Linked DNA regions of Canis lupus familiaris. Each later gene encodes a partner of the first gene's protein in a complex. Links are inferred from orthologs where the notes say so. Each region holds a gene or a part of one and is shown in the gene's direction. Other genes may lie near its edges. The genes, in order: OS9 and UBE2J1.

Region 1 (7,979 bases):
TTGAGTTGTAAGATTTCTTTATATATTCTGGATAGAAGTTTTATGAGATACATGATTTGCAAATATTTTCTCCTGTTCTTTGGATTGTCATTTCACATTCTTGATGGTGTCCTTTGCAGCACAAAAACTTTTAATTTTGATGAATTCCAATTTACCTATTTTTTGTTGCTTGTGCCTTTTATGTCATATCAAATAAACCATTAGGTCATCTAAATCCATGAACACTTATACCTATATTTTCTCTTAAAAATATTATAGTTTTACATTTAGGTCTTTGATCCATTTTGAGTTAATTTTTGTATATAGTATGAGGTAGGGGTCCAATTTCATTTTTTTGCACATAGATATCCAGTTGACTCACCATTATTTGTTGAAAAGATGATTCCCATTGAATTATCTTGATAACCTTTCAAAAAATCAAATGAGAATAAAAGTAAAGGTTAATTTCTAGACTGTAAATTCTATCTCATTGGTCTATGTATCTGTCTCTAAGTCAGTACTACACTGTCATGATTATTGTACTTTTGTAGCAAGTTTTAAAATCAGTGTGGGTTTTCCAACTTTTTTTTTTTTCCAGATTATTTTGACTATTTAGAGTCCCTTGAATTTTCATGAATTTTAGGATCAGTTAATTTCCAAAACAAAGCCAGCTGGAATTTGGTGAGGATTGCTATATTAAGTCTTTTAATCTCTGAGGTTGGATATCTTTACATGTATTTAAGTCTTTGACTTCTTTAAGAAATGTTTTGTAGTTTTCAAGCATTTTGCTACATTTATTCCTAATTATTTTCTCTTTTTTTTAAGATTTTATTTATTTATTAGAGAGAGAGCATGGGCAAGGGGGAGGTGCAGAGGCAAAGGGAGAAGCAGGCTCCCTGCTGAGGGCTCTATCCCAGGATCCCAGGACCACAACCTGAGCTGAAGGCAGTCTCTCAACCAAGTGAGCCATGCAGGCACTCCTAATTATTTTATTTTTTGATGCTATTATAAATGGAATTATTTTCTTTTTACTATTTTATTATTTTATTTTTGAATTGTTCTTTGAATGTATAGAAATACAATTGATGCCTATATCCTGCAGCCTTATTGAACTTGGATATTAGTTCTATAGCTTAATAGATTCTTTAGGATTTTCTTTCTTTCTTTCTTCCTTCCTTTCTTTCCCTTTCTTTTTTTTAGTAGGTGCTATACCCAACATGCAGCCCAATGAGCAGCTTCAACTCCCAACCCCAAGGCCAAGACCTGAGCTAAGACCAAAAGTCAAACATTTAACCAATTGAGCCACCCAGGTGCTCCTAGGATTTTCTGTATATAAAATCATCTGTGAATGGAATAGTTTTACTTTTTTTCTTTCCAATATAGATGCTTTTTCTTCCCCCCCCCCCCCCCCCCTTTTTGTCCTGGTCAAAACCTCCAACCCAATGTTGAATGGAAGTGGCAGAAGCAGACATACCTCTCTTATTCCTTTTTCTCTTTTTTGAGAAAGAGAAAGAGTGCAAGCATGAGAAAGAACTAGAGTTGGGGCTGGGAGGAAGGGGCAGAGGGAGAGGGAGAAAGAATCTCAAGCAGGCTCCATGCCCAGTGTGGAGCTGATGTGGGGCTTAATCTCATGACTTCAAGATCATGCCCTAAACTGAAATCACACTCAACTGAGCCACCCAGGTGCCCCATCCTTGTCTTATTCAAGATCTTAGGAGGAAACTATTCAGTTTTTCCACCATTAAGTATAATGTTAGCTGTGGATTTTTAATAAACACTTCTTATCATATTGATGAAATTCTCTTTTCATTCAAATTTGTCGCATGCTTTCATCATGAAGATATGTCACATTTTGTCAATTGCTTTTTCTGCATCCATTGAGATGATCATGTGGTTTTTATCCTTTATTCTGTTAATCATTTACATTAATTGATTTTTTTATGTTAGCCCAAGTTTGCACTCCTGGGATAAATCCACTTGGTCTGGTGTGTAATACTTTTTATATGTTGCTAAATTTGTTTAGCATTTTGTTGAGGATTTGGGGTCTTTATTCATAAGAGATACTGGCTTATAGTTTCCTTTTCTTATTATATATTTGTCTAGATTTGGTATCAGGGTGATAATACTGGCTTTGTAGTATGAGTTGGGGAATATTGTCTCTTCTTTTTTTCTGGAAGAGTTTGAGAGAGATTGATCTTTATTGTTTTTGTTTGTTTGTTTGTTTGTTTTAAGATTTTATTTATTTATTCATGAGAGACACACAGAGAGAGAGAGGCAGAGACACAGGCAAAGGGAGAAGCAGGCCCCATGCAGGGAGCCCGATGCGGGACTTGATCCCTGGTCTCCAGGATCACACCCTGGGCCAAAGGTGGCGCTAAACCTCTGAGCCACCAGGGCTGCCCTTTATTGTTTTTTAAATATTTGGTAGAATTCACCAGTAGACCCATCTGGCCAGGCTTTCCTATGTGGTTAGTTTCTGGATTACTAATTCAATCTCCATACTGGTTATGGGTCTATTCATATTGTTTACTTCTTTTTGAGTCAGTTTTGGTAGCTGTGTCTTTCTAGAAATTTGTCCATTTCATCTAAGTTAATCTGATTTGTTGGCGTGTAGGTATTGATAGTCTTTCTTTACAATCCTTTATTTCTGCAAGGTTGATAGTAATGTTCCCTCTTTCATTTCTGATACTAATTTGAGTCTTTTCTTTTTATTTTCTTGGTAAGTTTAGCTGAAGTTTTGTCACTTACTGATCTTTTCTTTTTTTTTTTTTTTCACTTACTGATCTTTTCAAAACAACTTTTAGTTTCATTGATTTTTCTCTATTGCTTTTTTGTTCTCTAGTTCACTTATTTTTGTTCTAATCTGTGTTACTTCCTTCACTCTGCTTGCTTTGGGTTTAGTTTGCTTTTCTTTTTCTAGTGTTTGAGGTCTTTTTTTCTTTTTTAATATTGTCTTTTTGCAGGGAAAAATTTTAATCCTATGCATACACATACATGTGTACACACACAAAAAGAATATATGTTTCAAATACATAGAAGTACAATTGACCCTTGATCAACAGGTTTGATCTGTGTGGGCCCACTTATAAGTTGATTTTTTTCAGTAAATATATTGGAAAATTTTTAGGAGATTTATGATAGTTTGAAAAAAACTCACAGATGAACCACATAGCCTAGAAATGCTGAGAAAATTAAGTTAGATCTATCATGAATGCATGAAATATAGGTAGGTAGTAGGCTGTTTTATCATTTGCTACCATAAATATACACAAGTCTATTATAAAAAGTTAAAATTTATCAAAATGTATGCACAGACTTATAGACCATATATGGTGCCATTCACAGTAGAGAGAAATGTAAACAAAAGGGTGCAGAATTATATAACAACAGCATAAAACTGTAGAACATACTGTACTACTGTAGTGCTTTTGTAGCCACCTCCTGTTGCTATTGGGATGAGCTCAAGTGTTGCAGGGATCTGCTTAAAACTCCACGACAATCATCTCTGCATGAGCAGTTTGTCTCCATAAATTGCTTTTCACAGTAAAAAGTGATCTCTTGTGGCTTTTGCTATTAGTAGTTAAGTTGGGGAGTCAGAAGTTATGTGCAGATTTTTGACTTGGGCAGGTGGGGAGGAGGGGGAGGTCAGCGTCCCTAACCCCCTGCAATGTTCAAGGGTCAACTGTTTCTGTGTGTATCTCAAATACATACAAGTATGTATACACTGTATTTATATAAAGCAAGAATGTGAAACAAAAATTGGCTCTACAGGGAAGCTGCCTGAATTCAGTTCCCTGTTTTTACCACTTACCAGTGGTCAACCTGACCAAGTCCCTTATCTGCATCAAACCTAAGTTTTTTGAGCCACAAAATTGAGATATTAATCCCTCCCTCACTAGGTTTTTGTGATCATTAACTGAGCTAAAGTACATAAAGTGTCCTATACACAGTGTCTGCACAGAACCAGATACACAGTAAGTGCTGAACAAAAGGCAGCTGCTCGAAGAACGAAAGCTAATCCCTAGTGGTAATAATTTGTTCACCCGTCTGTCCTGGCAGTTCCTCTGTGACGAGGGTGCTGGTATTTCCGGGGACTACATTGATCGTGTGGATGAGCCTTTATCCTGCTCTTATGTGTTGACCGTCCGGACTCCTCGGCTCTGCCCCCACCCTCTCCTAAGGCCCCCACCCAGCGCTGCTCCTCAGGCCATCCTCTGTCACCCTGCCCTGCAGCCTGAGGAGTACATGGCCTACATTCAGAGGCAAGCTGGTGAGTAATTAGAAGAACAAGGAGAGGGGGCCCCTGGATGGCTCAGTGGTTGAGTGTTTGCCTTTGGCTCGGGTCATGATCCCTGGGGTCCTGGGATTGAGTCCTGCATCAGGCTCTCCGCAGGGAGGCTGCTTCTCCCTCTGCCTATGTCTCTGCCTCTCTCTCTCTCTCTGTTTCTCATGAATAAAGATATAAAATCTTAAAAAAGAGAAAGGAGAGGAAGAAAAGACACCAGGAGAGACAAGCGGAAGATAAGGTAGGCATGTGGCCTTGTCCTGCCCACACACTGTTTTTCAGTAGACTCAAAGCAGTATGGAGATAAAGCCCTAGAGGAGCTGCAAGACCTGGAGCCGCAAACATGGGGTGAGGCCCAACCCAGAGCGGTGCCCTCAAAGAGAGGAGGTAGGATCTTCCTGCATCTGTTCCGTGAAACTTCTCCACTTCTTCCCTTCCCCAGTCCTACTGACCTGCACTGACCGTTGGGGGTGGGGAGGAAGTCCTACGGGCCTTAATTCCTTAGTAATAGTGAAGGGGAATGTACCCCATTCTACTTGCTCCCTTCTGTTTCTCCCACCTTTCAGAGTCCTCCCTGTTCTCTGTATCCCAGGTGCACATCCAACCAAGGATGACAGTAAGGAGTCCGATTTCTGGAAGATGCTTCCTGAGCCACAGGAGCAGACCCCTGGGGCAACGGAGATGCCGGCTGAGGTGAGAGCTGGCTTCCCAGCTATTTCTCTGATGAGGCTGACCCTGGGCGAGCTGAGGTCATCATGAGTTGACCTACACCTATCTAGGGAGGCAAGGATCTACCCAGAACCACTGCCTTAAGAATGTGGTAGGTGTGAACGAGCCTGTGGACTTGACTCCGCCCTTTTCTCATCAGGAGCAGGAACCAAACCTTGAGGCCGCAGATCCAGCTCCGGCCCCTCCCCATGGTGAGCAGAACCCTCCACCTCTCCTTTACCGCTTGAATGTATTTTGGGGCTGGTGGGGGTGGGGTGGGGTGGAACTAAACACTGGTGGGGGAGGTTGGGCGGCCAGGCCAGCAGTGAATTCATCTTTATTGAATTGGAGGCAATACTATTTACAGACAGCAATGCTATTCTAGGGAGATAACGGAACTCGGTGGTTCTGCTACTTGCTGACTTTGTAATCCTGGGTGATTGCACTTAACCTCAATTTCCTCACCCCCAGCAGTGGGTAATCCCCCTACCTTACAGGGTAGTTGTGAGGTTCAGTGAGAACGAGTCTGTAGTTCACAGCAGAATGCCCCGAACAGAGTAGACCAGAGTAGACAAGAAATGGTTTCTATTTGGCAGAAAGGAGAGAACAGTATCCAGGGAAGAGAAGGCTGTGGCCCCAGAATCTCTTCCGTAGTCCTCAGAACTGGAGTAATTGCCAGCAGGGCCCAGCAGCGCGGGTGCGAGCAGCGTGTTAGCATCCCCTGTCTCATCTGTGGGTCCACCTTAGGACAGCACCCTCCAGGGGCCTGCGTCGGCCCCTATCTCAGTGACCAGACAGGTGGCTCCCGGACGCAGGGACCATGTCCTTCCCTGGTCTCCTCATCTCCTCTCCTTAGGAAATCAAAATAGAATTTAGGACAGAACTGCTTCATCCCTGCTCTTTCATCTCAGATTTTCAGAACAACGTACAGGTCAAAGTCATCCGGAGTCCTGCAGACTTGATTCGATTGATAGAGGAGCTGAAAGGTGGAACCAAAAAGGTACAGGCCCCTGCTCAACAGAGGGGGAGAACCCGCCTCCCTGCTAGGAGCGCTTAGAGAACGGCCCCTGGAGTGAGCCCAGGAGAGCTGACTCCCTTTCTTTCCTCCTCCAGAGTCCCCCCACTGCCACACTCCAGCCACTGTCTATCTGTGGCCCACACGTCTCTACTGAAACCCCAACTGTCCGTCTCTTTCTCCCGATCCCCGTCCACCTAGGGCAAGCCCAACGGAGGCCAAGAGCAGCCTGTAGGTGAGGCAGCAGAAGTCCCTCAAAGGGAAGCAGAGGAAAAGGACAAGAGTGACATGGATCATCAGAACGAGGTGGAAGAGGAGGAAGAGGAGGAGGAGGATGAAGATGAAGATGAGGATGAGCAGCAGTTACTGGGAGAGTTTGAGAAGGAACTGGAAGGGATACTGCTTCCGTCAGACCGAGACCGGCTCCGCTCGGAGGTGAAGGCCGGCATGGAGCGGGAGCTGGAGACCATCATCCAGGAAGTGAGCACAGCCCTTACCCTGCTCGCTTTGGCAGCCGGCTGCTCCTATGGACTAGGGCAGGCTGGGGGGGCAAAGGAATGAAGGGCGGCCTGCGGCTGGCACAGGGCAGGGAACAGTGTGCTCAGCTGCCACTTGTTTCCTTAATGGAAGGAGGGGACGGTAGGGAAGGGGAGACCAGAGGGAGGGCCAAGACTTAGCCGTTGCTCTCCTGTTAGAGCACGGACCACTGAGCTGCACTCCCCCGCCCCCTGACTCCACTCTCCTGCCTTGGGCATTCCAGACAGAGAAGGAGCTGGACCCAGACGGGTTGAAGAAGGAATCTGAGCGTGATCGGGCAATGCTGGCCCTGACCTCCACTCTCAACAAGCTCATCAAAAGGCTGGAGGAGAAACAGAGTCCAGAGCTGGTGAAGAAGCACAGGAAAAGGAGGGTTGCCCCCAAAAAGCCTCCCCCCAGCCCCCCACCAGCAGGTAAGAGCTGTTGGACAGGGTCCCTCAGCTGGTGTACCCTGGTGGGCATCCCGTTTTGCTCTTCCGAGGGTGTTCACTCCCCTCCATCCTCCTGGAACGCAGCTCTCCTGCCTTCTTCCCACTGCCTCCATCCCTTTGCCTGGTTACCTCCTACTCAGTCATCCCTTCAGGAAGCGGCTTTTAGAGCATGTCTGTCCGGTTTTCTGGCTGGCTCCCGTGTACCCAGCGCCTAGCACTTCCACGGCGCATGGTGGGTGGTCGGTAGAAACTAATGGAACGACTGGGAGCCAGCCCTGTGTGCAGAAGACCACACACCTGTGAAGGACGCAGCGTATCAACAGTGAGCCCCGTGCGCTGGGAAAGGCCCCCACTGGTAGGGTGTGAACGGGCAAGCCTGGCTGGTCAGAAGCCAGTTGCCTGGCAGGACAGACGTGAAGTTATTGCTTCCTCCTGCACCCCTGAGCTCCATGCCACGGGGTCATATGAGATTAGACATTCCAAATGGAATGTTCTGTTTTCACATCTTCCATCCCACCATCTCTATAAACATTAGAATGTCTTTCGAGTACCAGCATGTGGAACAAAACCACAGTTTTCCAACCTGCTTTCCTAAAACAAAACTCCTCCGTTGGCCCAGGTGACCTGATTTTTGCTTCAGAAAACACAGTGGTTTTTCCTGTAGGGGACAGGCAGGATGATTGGTCCAGGAGGGGAAAGGGAGGCTACGGTTAGTGGAGGGAGCTTTATAGGCTGAAGGGGGACGGAGGAAGGGGGCACTTACTCTGAGCCCCGGTTCATCCATGCGTGTGATGGAAAACTGCCAGGACCAGTTGATGGCTTAAGGAGAAGTTACCACCGCAGCCCCTAACCTGGAATCACGGCTCTGCTTTGTGTCTCCCTGTATGTCTCCCCCTCTAAGAGGAGGATCCTGAACACAGAGTCCGGGTCCGGGTCACCAAGCTCCGTCACGGAGGCCCCAATCAGGATCTGACTGTCCTCGAGATGAAACGGGAAAACCCACAGCTGAAACAAATCGAGGGGC
Region 2 (4,233 bases), on another chromosome or scaffold:
AAGATTCAACACAAAGAATGCATAAATGAATGAAGCAGGGTATCGGGGTTTGGTTTTGTTTGCATATCTCAGCCACTCTGATTATCCATTTGCGGCTCAGAAAACAACATCATGGAATGGCTTCAAAGATACCACCTAATTCTTATTTTAGATATCCTCCATTTCATCCCTTCCCTCTCCATTTCAGTCTTTACCAAGGGTTGCTGGTACAATTCTCTATGTAACAAAATAGAACTTGTCCAGCCAGATTAACCCTGCTTCACCTCACCTAGAATTCCTCCCTTCCCTCTTCATCCTCTTCATCCTCCCCACCGTGCCAATCCCTCCGTGTCTGCCTCAATTCTCACCCCTTCCTTAGCCTTCGAGAACCCGTATGTAACCCTTTCTCTGAATCCCGCTTTCCACAATGAAGCCTATACTGTGTCCTTTGAGGTTTACCCTTATGTATTTGTACACGTTCCCCCCAAATTCAATGTGACTCGCTGTTTTATTTGACAAGTTATAATTTCTTTCACTCCCCTCCCCAGGCTTAAAAGTACCTTGCACCTAATCACATTACTAAAACAAAAAACAAAACAAAACAAAACAAAAAAACAAAAAGAAACCCACAAACCTAAATTGCTATAAAAATCCTACTGGGGGCAGCCCGGGTGGCCCAGTGGTTTAGCGCCGCCTTCAGCCCAGGGCCTGATCCTTGAGTTCCGCGATCGAGTCCCACGTGGGGCTCCCTGCGTGGAGCCTGCTTCTCCCTCTGCCTGCGTCTCTCTTCCTGTGTCTGTCATGAATAAATAAATAAAATCTTTTAAAACAATAAAAATAAATAAAAACCCTACTCAATTTCCTTTTATTTTTAAAGATTTTATTTACTTTTCCTGATTAAAGATTTTTTAAAATTAATTTATTATTATTTTTTTTAAATTGGAGTTCGATTTGCCAACATCTCGCATGTCACCCGGTGCTCATCCCGCCAAGGCCCCCTCAGCGCCCGTCACCCGGTCACCCCAACCCCCGCCCTCCGCCCCCGCCGCTGCCGCCGCCCCGCGTTCGCTTCCCAGGGTCCACGGGCTCAGCACTGGGTCTTGGCGCCGCACTGGCCGTCGCGACCGCTGTGGGATGGGCTCCGGGGCCGCGCGCGCCCCTCCCCGCCCGCCGAAAGGCGCCTCCGCGCGGCCGCAGCCTGAGGCGGACCCGGGCGCCGCCCGCTTTTGCAGAGCCCGGAGCGACCTCGGCGGCGACCGACCGCCACGAAGCGGCCGCCACGTCAGGGCAACTTCACAAACCCGGGCGAGGGCGGGTGACGCAGCGCCGGCGGCCGCGGCGGGGTGGGGCCGGCGGCCCACGACGAGGCTGACCCGCAGCCCGGGCGCCCCGCTCAGCGACGCCCCGGCCGGCGCCGGCGCCCGCCCGGCCCTCAGGGAGGCGGGGGAGCCGCGGAGGAGGCGGCGCCATCGCGAAGCCCGTGCCCCGCCCGCAGTCCGGGCCGGGGCTGGGCGGCGTCTGCGGAGGCTCCCTCGGCCCGGCCCAATCGGCCCGAGCCGCGCTGACACCCGGGCGGCCGCGGCGCGGAGAGGTGGAGGCGGCGGGCGGGGAGGCCGGAGCCCGGACGGCGATCGGCCATGGAGACCCGCTACAACCTGAAGAGTCCGGGTGAGCGGGGCGGCGGGCGGCGCCCCTGGGCGGGCCGGGCCGGGCCGGGCCGGGCAGGGCAGGGCAGGGCCGGCGCGACCCCCGGCTCCCGGCTCCCGGGCCCGGCGCTGCGGTTCCCTCGCGTCCGCCGGCGCTCGCCGCTCGGCTGCGGGGCTTCGCGCTCTACGCGAGACCGCCGCCTGCCGGGCTGGTGCAGGCCGCGGGGCGGGCGCCCGCCGCCGACCCCGGGCACCGGCCGCTCCCCCGCGGCGCCCGGACTCTCCCTCCCGTCACCGTGGGCGCCCGGTGCTGGGCCCTAGGCTCCTCGCCAAGAGCAGGTGTCACGGGGATGTCCGTGGGCGGCAGCCAGCCCCTGCGGTCCCGGAACGCGGAGCGTCGCTGTCCCTTCGTCGCCGCCACCGGACTTTTATTAGCTGTTTGACTCACTTGGCGTGTGAGGACCGGTTTGTTTGAATTTCCCATTTGCAGCATTTGGGGCGACTGGAATTGCAGACCTAAAGGAATGCTCTGTTGGAAACCAACGAACCAGCGAGCTCAGAAAACTAGTTAGATGAGCCGTGTACTCTGGGGCTAACCATGATTTTTTTTTTTAATTTATTTATTCACGAGAGACACAGAGCGCGCGCGAGAGGCAGAGACACAGGCAGAGGGAGAAGCAGGCTCCACGCAGGGAGCCCGACCTGGGACTCGACCCCGGGTCTCCAGGATCGCGCCCTGGGCGGAAGGCGGCACTAAAGCATGATTTTTGCCGTGACGACTAACACGATGATAGAGCTCGATATTCCGTCATGGAGACTTCCTGTGGTTAGTGCCCCAGCTTCATTCACAGAGCAGCCCGAACAATCCCAGCCTCAAGTTCTTCTCTGGTGCATTTTAAGATGCAAGAAAAGTCAAGCCACTCTCTCCTATTAAGGCAGGCTGGAAATAAACCACTAGGTTTTGTAAGTGGTATTCATTTTATCTGCACCTTGATAAGTTTGTCAGGAGGGAGAAACTCCGCAGTTCAGCTCTAAATGGTAATCCTAGAATATTAGTGATGGTTTGAGCACATATTGCTGCTGCTTTATGTCTTCCTTCCAAGGAAGCGTCTTTTCCGTAGGAATCAGCAAGATTAGCATCCCGATGGAATAGAGCTGACACTGCGAATCTTTGATCTTTAAGAAATACTTAATGTGTAGGAACTCCAGAAAAGTCTGGGGATATTGATCGAACAGAGTGTTGTTAACTTGAGTGCTGTCGGGCTGAGAAATAGTCTTAGCTGACCAAGTGTGTAGAATGGATCATAATATTTGAGGGTGCATGGACTGCTTTAAAAATCTGGTGAAGGCTTTGGGCTTTCCAAGAAATGCATTCATATAATTTCTCTTAAGAACCCCCAGGGGGAAAAAAGGAAAGTAAAAGAAGAAAGAGGGAAAGAAAACCTCCACTTTTAGATTAGATGGTAGGATGCTTAAATTGTTTAGATTTTCATAGATTTAAATGAAACTATGTGGGTAAACATGCATGGTGACTCCTTAGAGGTCACATGATACCAAGTTCCTTAGGACAGCTGAGGGACTTAGTAGAGTGTCCAGAGAATAATGCAAATAAAAATAATAGTGCAGTCTCTGGAACGGACAACTGGTGGGTCCCAAGACGTTAAGAGCACATAGCTCGGGATCCCTGGGTGGCGCAGCGGTTTGGCGCCTGCCTTTGGCCCAGGGCGCGATCCTGGAGACCCGGATCGAGTCCCACGTCGGGGTCCTGGTGCATGGAGCCTGCTTCTCCCTCGGCCTGTGTCTCTCCCTCTCTCTCTCTCTCTCTGTGACTATCATAAATAAATAAAAATTGAAAAAAAATTAAAAAAAAAAAGAGCACATAGCTCACTTTCGATAGGTCATCAGACCTGAGGTTATGAGAAACTTTTAAAATTCTCCAGAATTTTGTGCATTTCCAAAGTATAGGATCTACCAGCTGGCTGAGCTTTGGCCGACATGCCATGTTTGTAAATTGCTTCCTCTTTTTTGGTATCATTTCCTCAAAGATGGTGTTGCTGTTCTATTCGAGATGATTTCTAAAAATCTTTTTTGTTTGTTTGCTTTGTTGTATGGATCATTTGGAGTTCATAGTGAAGGTGAATTAGATGACATATGGGATGCACTAGAAATGCTAGGAGGCACGATGAAAATGCTTCCTTCCTTTGTTTTATTTTCAGTGCTGTGGTATTTTTGGAGCAATGCATATGTGGAAAAAAGTGGTTAAAAGCACTGCACAATGTAAGAGATATAACCCTTTCTCTCTAATGTGGAATTGTCTTAGAGGTATGGATGGTTCAATTAAGAGAATACCCATAACTGGTTAAGGGCCAGTGTGCTAGCATGTGGATGGTAATTTGTTCATTTTGTAAGTGGGAAAACTTAATTTTTTGTGACTTTTCTGGAATGGACTTGTGGCGATGGGCAGAGAGCTCTGTAGAGAGCCACCTCATAGGCCTCTGACTTAGCCTCTCAATAGTTGCACTGCATCAAGCTCCCTGGTCCCTTTTTGGGTCTGCTCTGGCCAAGAAGGCAGTAGGGTCTCACAGTACAAAGTAGGGAGACCCATGTG

What was found.
Region 2: OS9 (region 1) and UBE2J1 share a complex: the UniProt entries of both Homo sapiens proteins name them as parts of the HRD1 complex. The link is inferred for Canis lupus familiaris from reciprocal best matches to the Homo sapiens genes OS9 and UBE2J1.

Annotation. Positions count from the first base shown.
Region 1 is NC_049231.1:2,132,496-2,140,474, forward strand, and holds part of OS9 (protein OS-9), read left to right. Parts: intron 1-4,038; coding exon 4,039-4,249; intron 4,250-4,546; coding exon 4,547-4,651; intron 4,652-4,856; coding exon 4,857-4,957; intron 4,958-5,132; coding exon 5,133-5,184; intron 5,185-5,540; exon of another isoform or gene 5,541-5,823; intron 5,824-5,883; coding exon 5,884-5,972; intron 5,973-6,188; coding exon 6,189-6,467; intron 6,468-6,747; coding exon 6,748-6,937; intron 6,938-7,252; exon of another isoform or gene 7,253-7,856; coding exon 7,857-7,979. UniProt on the Homo sapiens protein: Lectin component of the HRD1 complex, which functions in endoplasmic reticulum (ER) quality control and ER-associated degradation (ERAD).
Region 2 is NC_049233.1:48,785,275-48,789,507, reverse strand, and holds the start of UBE2J1 (ubiquitin-conjugating enzyme E2 J1), read left to right. Parts: upstream 1-1,433; 5' UTR 1,434-1,616; coding exon 1,617-1,647; intron 1,648-4,233. UniProt on the Homo sapiens protein: Catalyzes the covalent attachment of ubiquitin to other proteins. Functions in the selective degradation of misfolded membrane proteins from the endoplasmic reticulum (ERAD) and is essential for cells to recover from ER stress.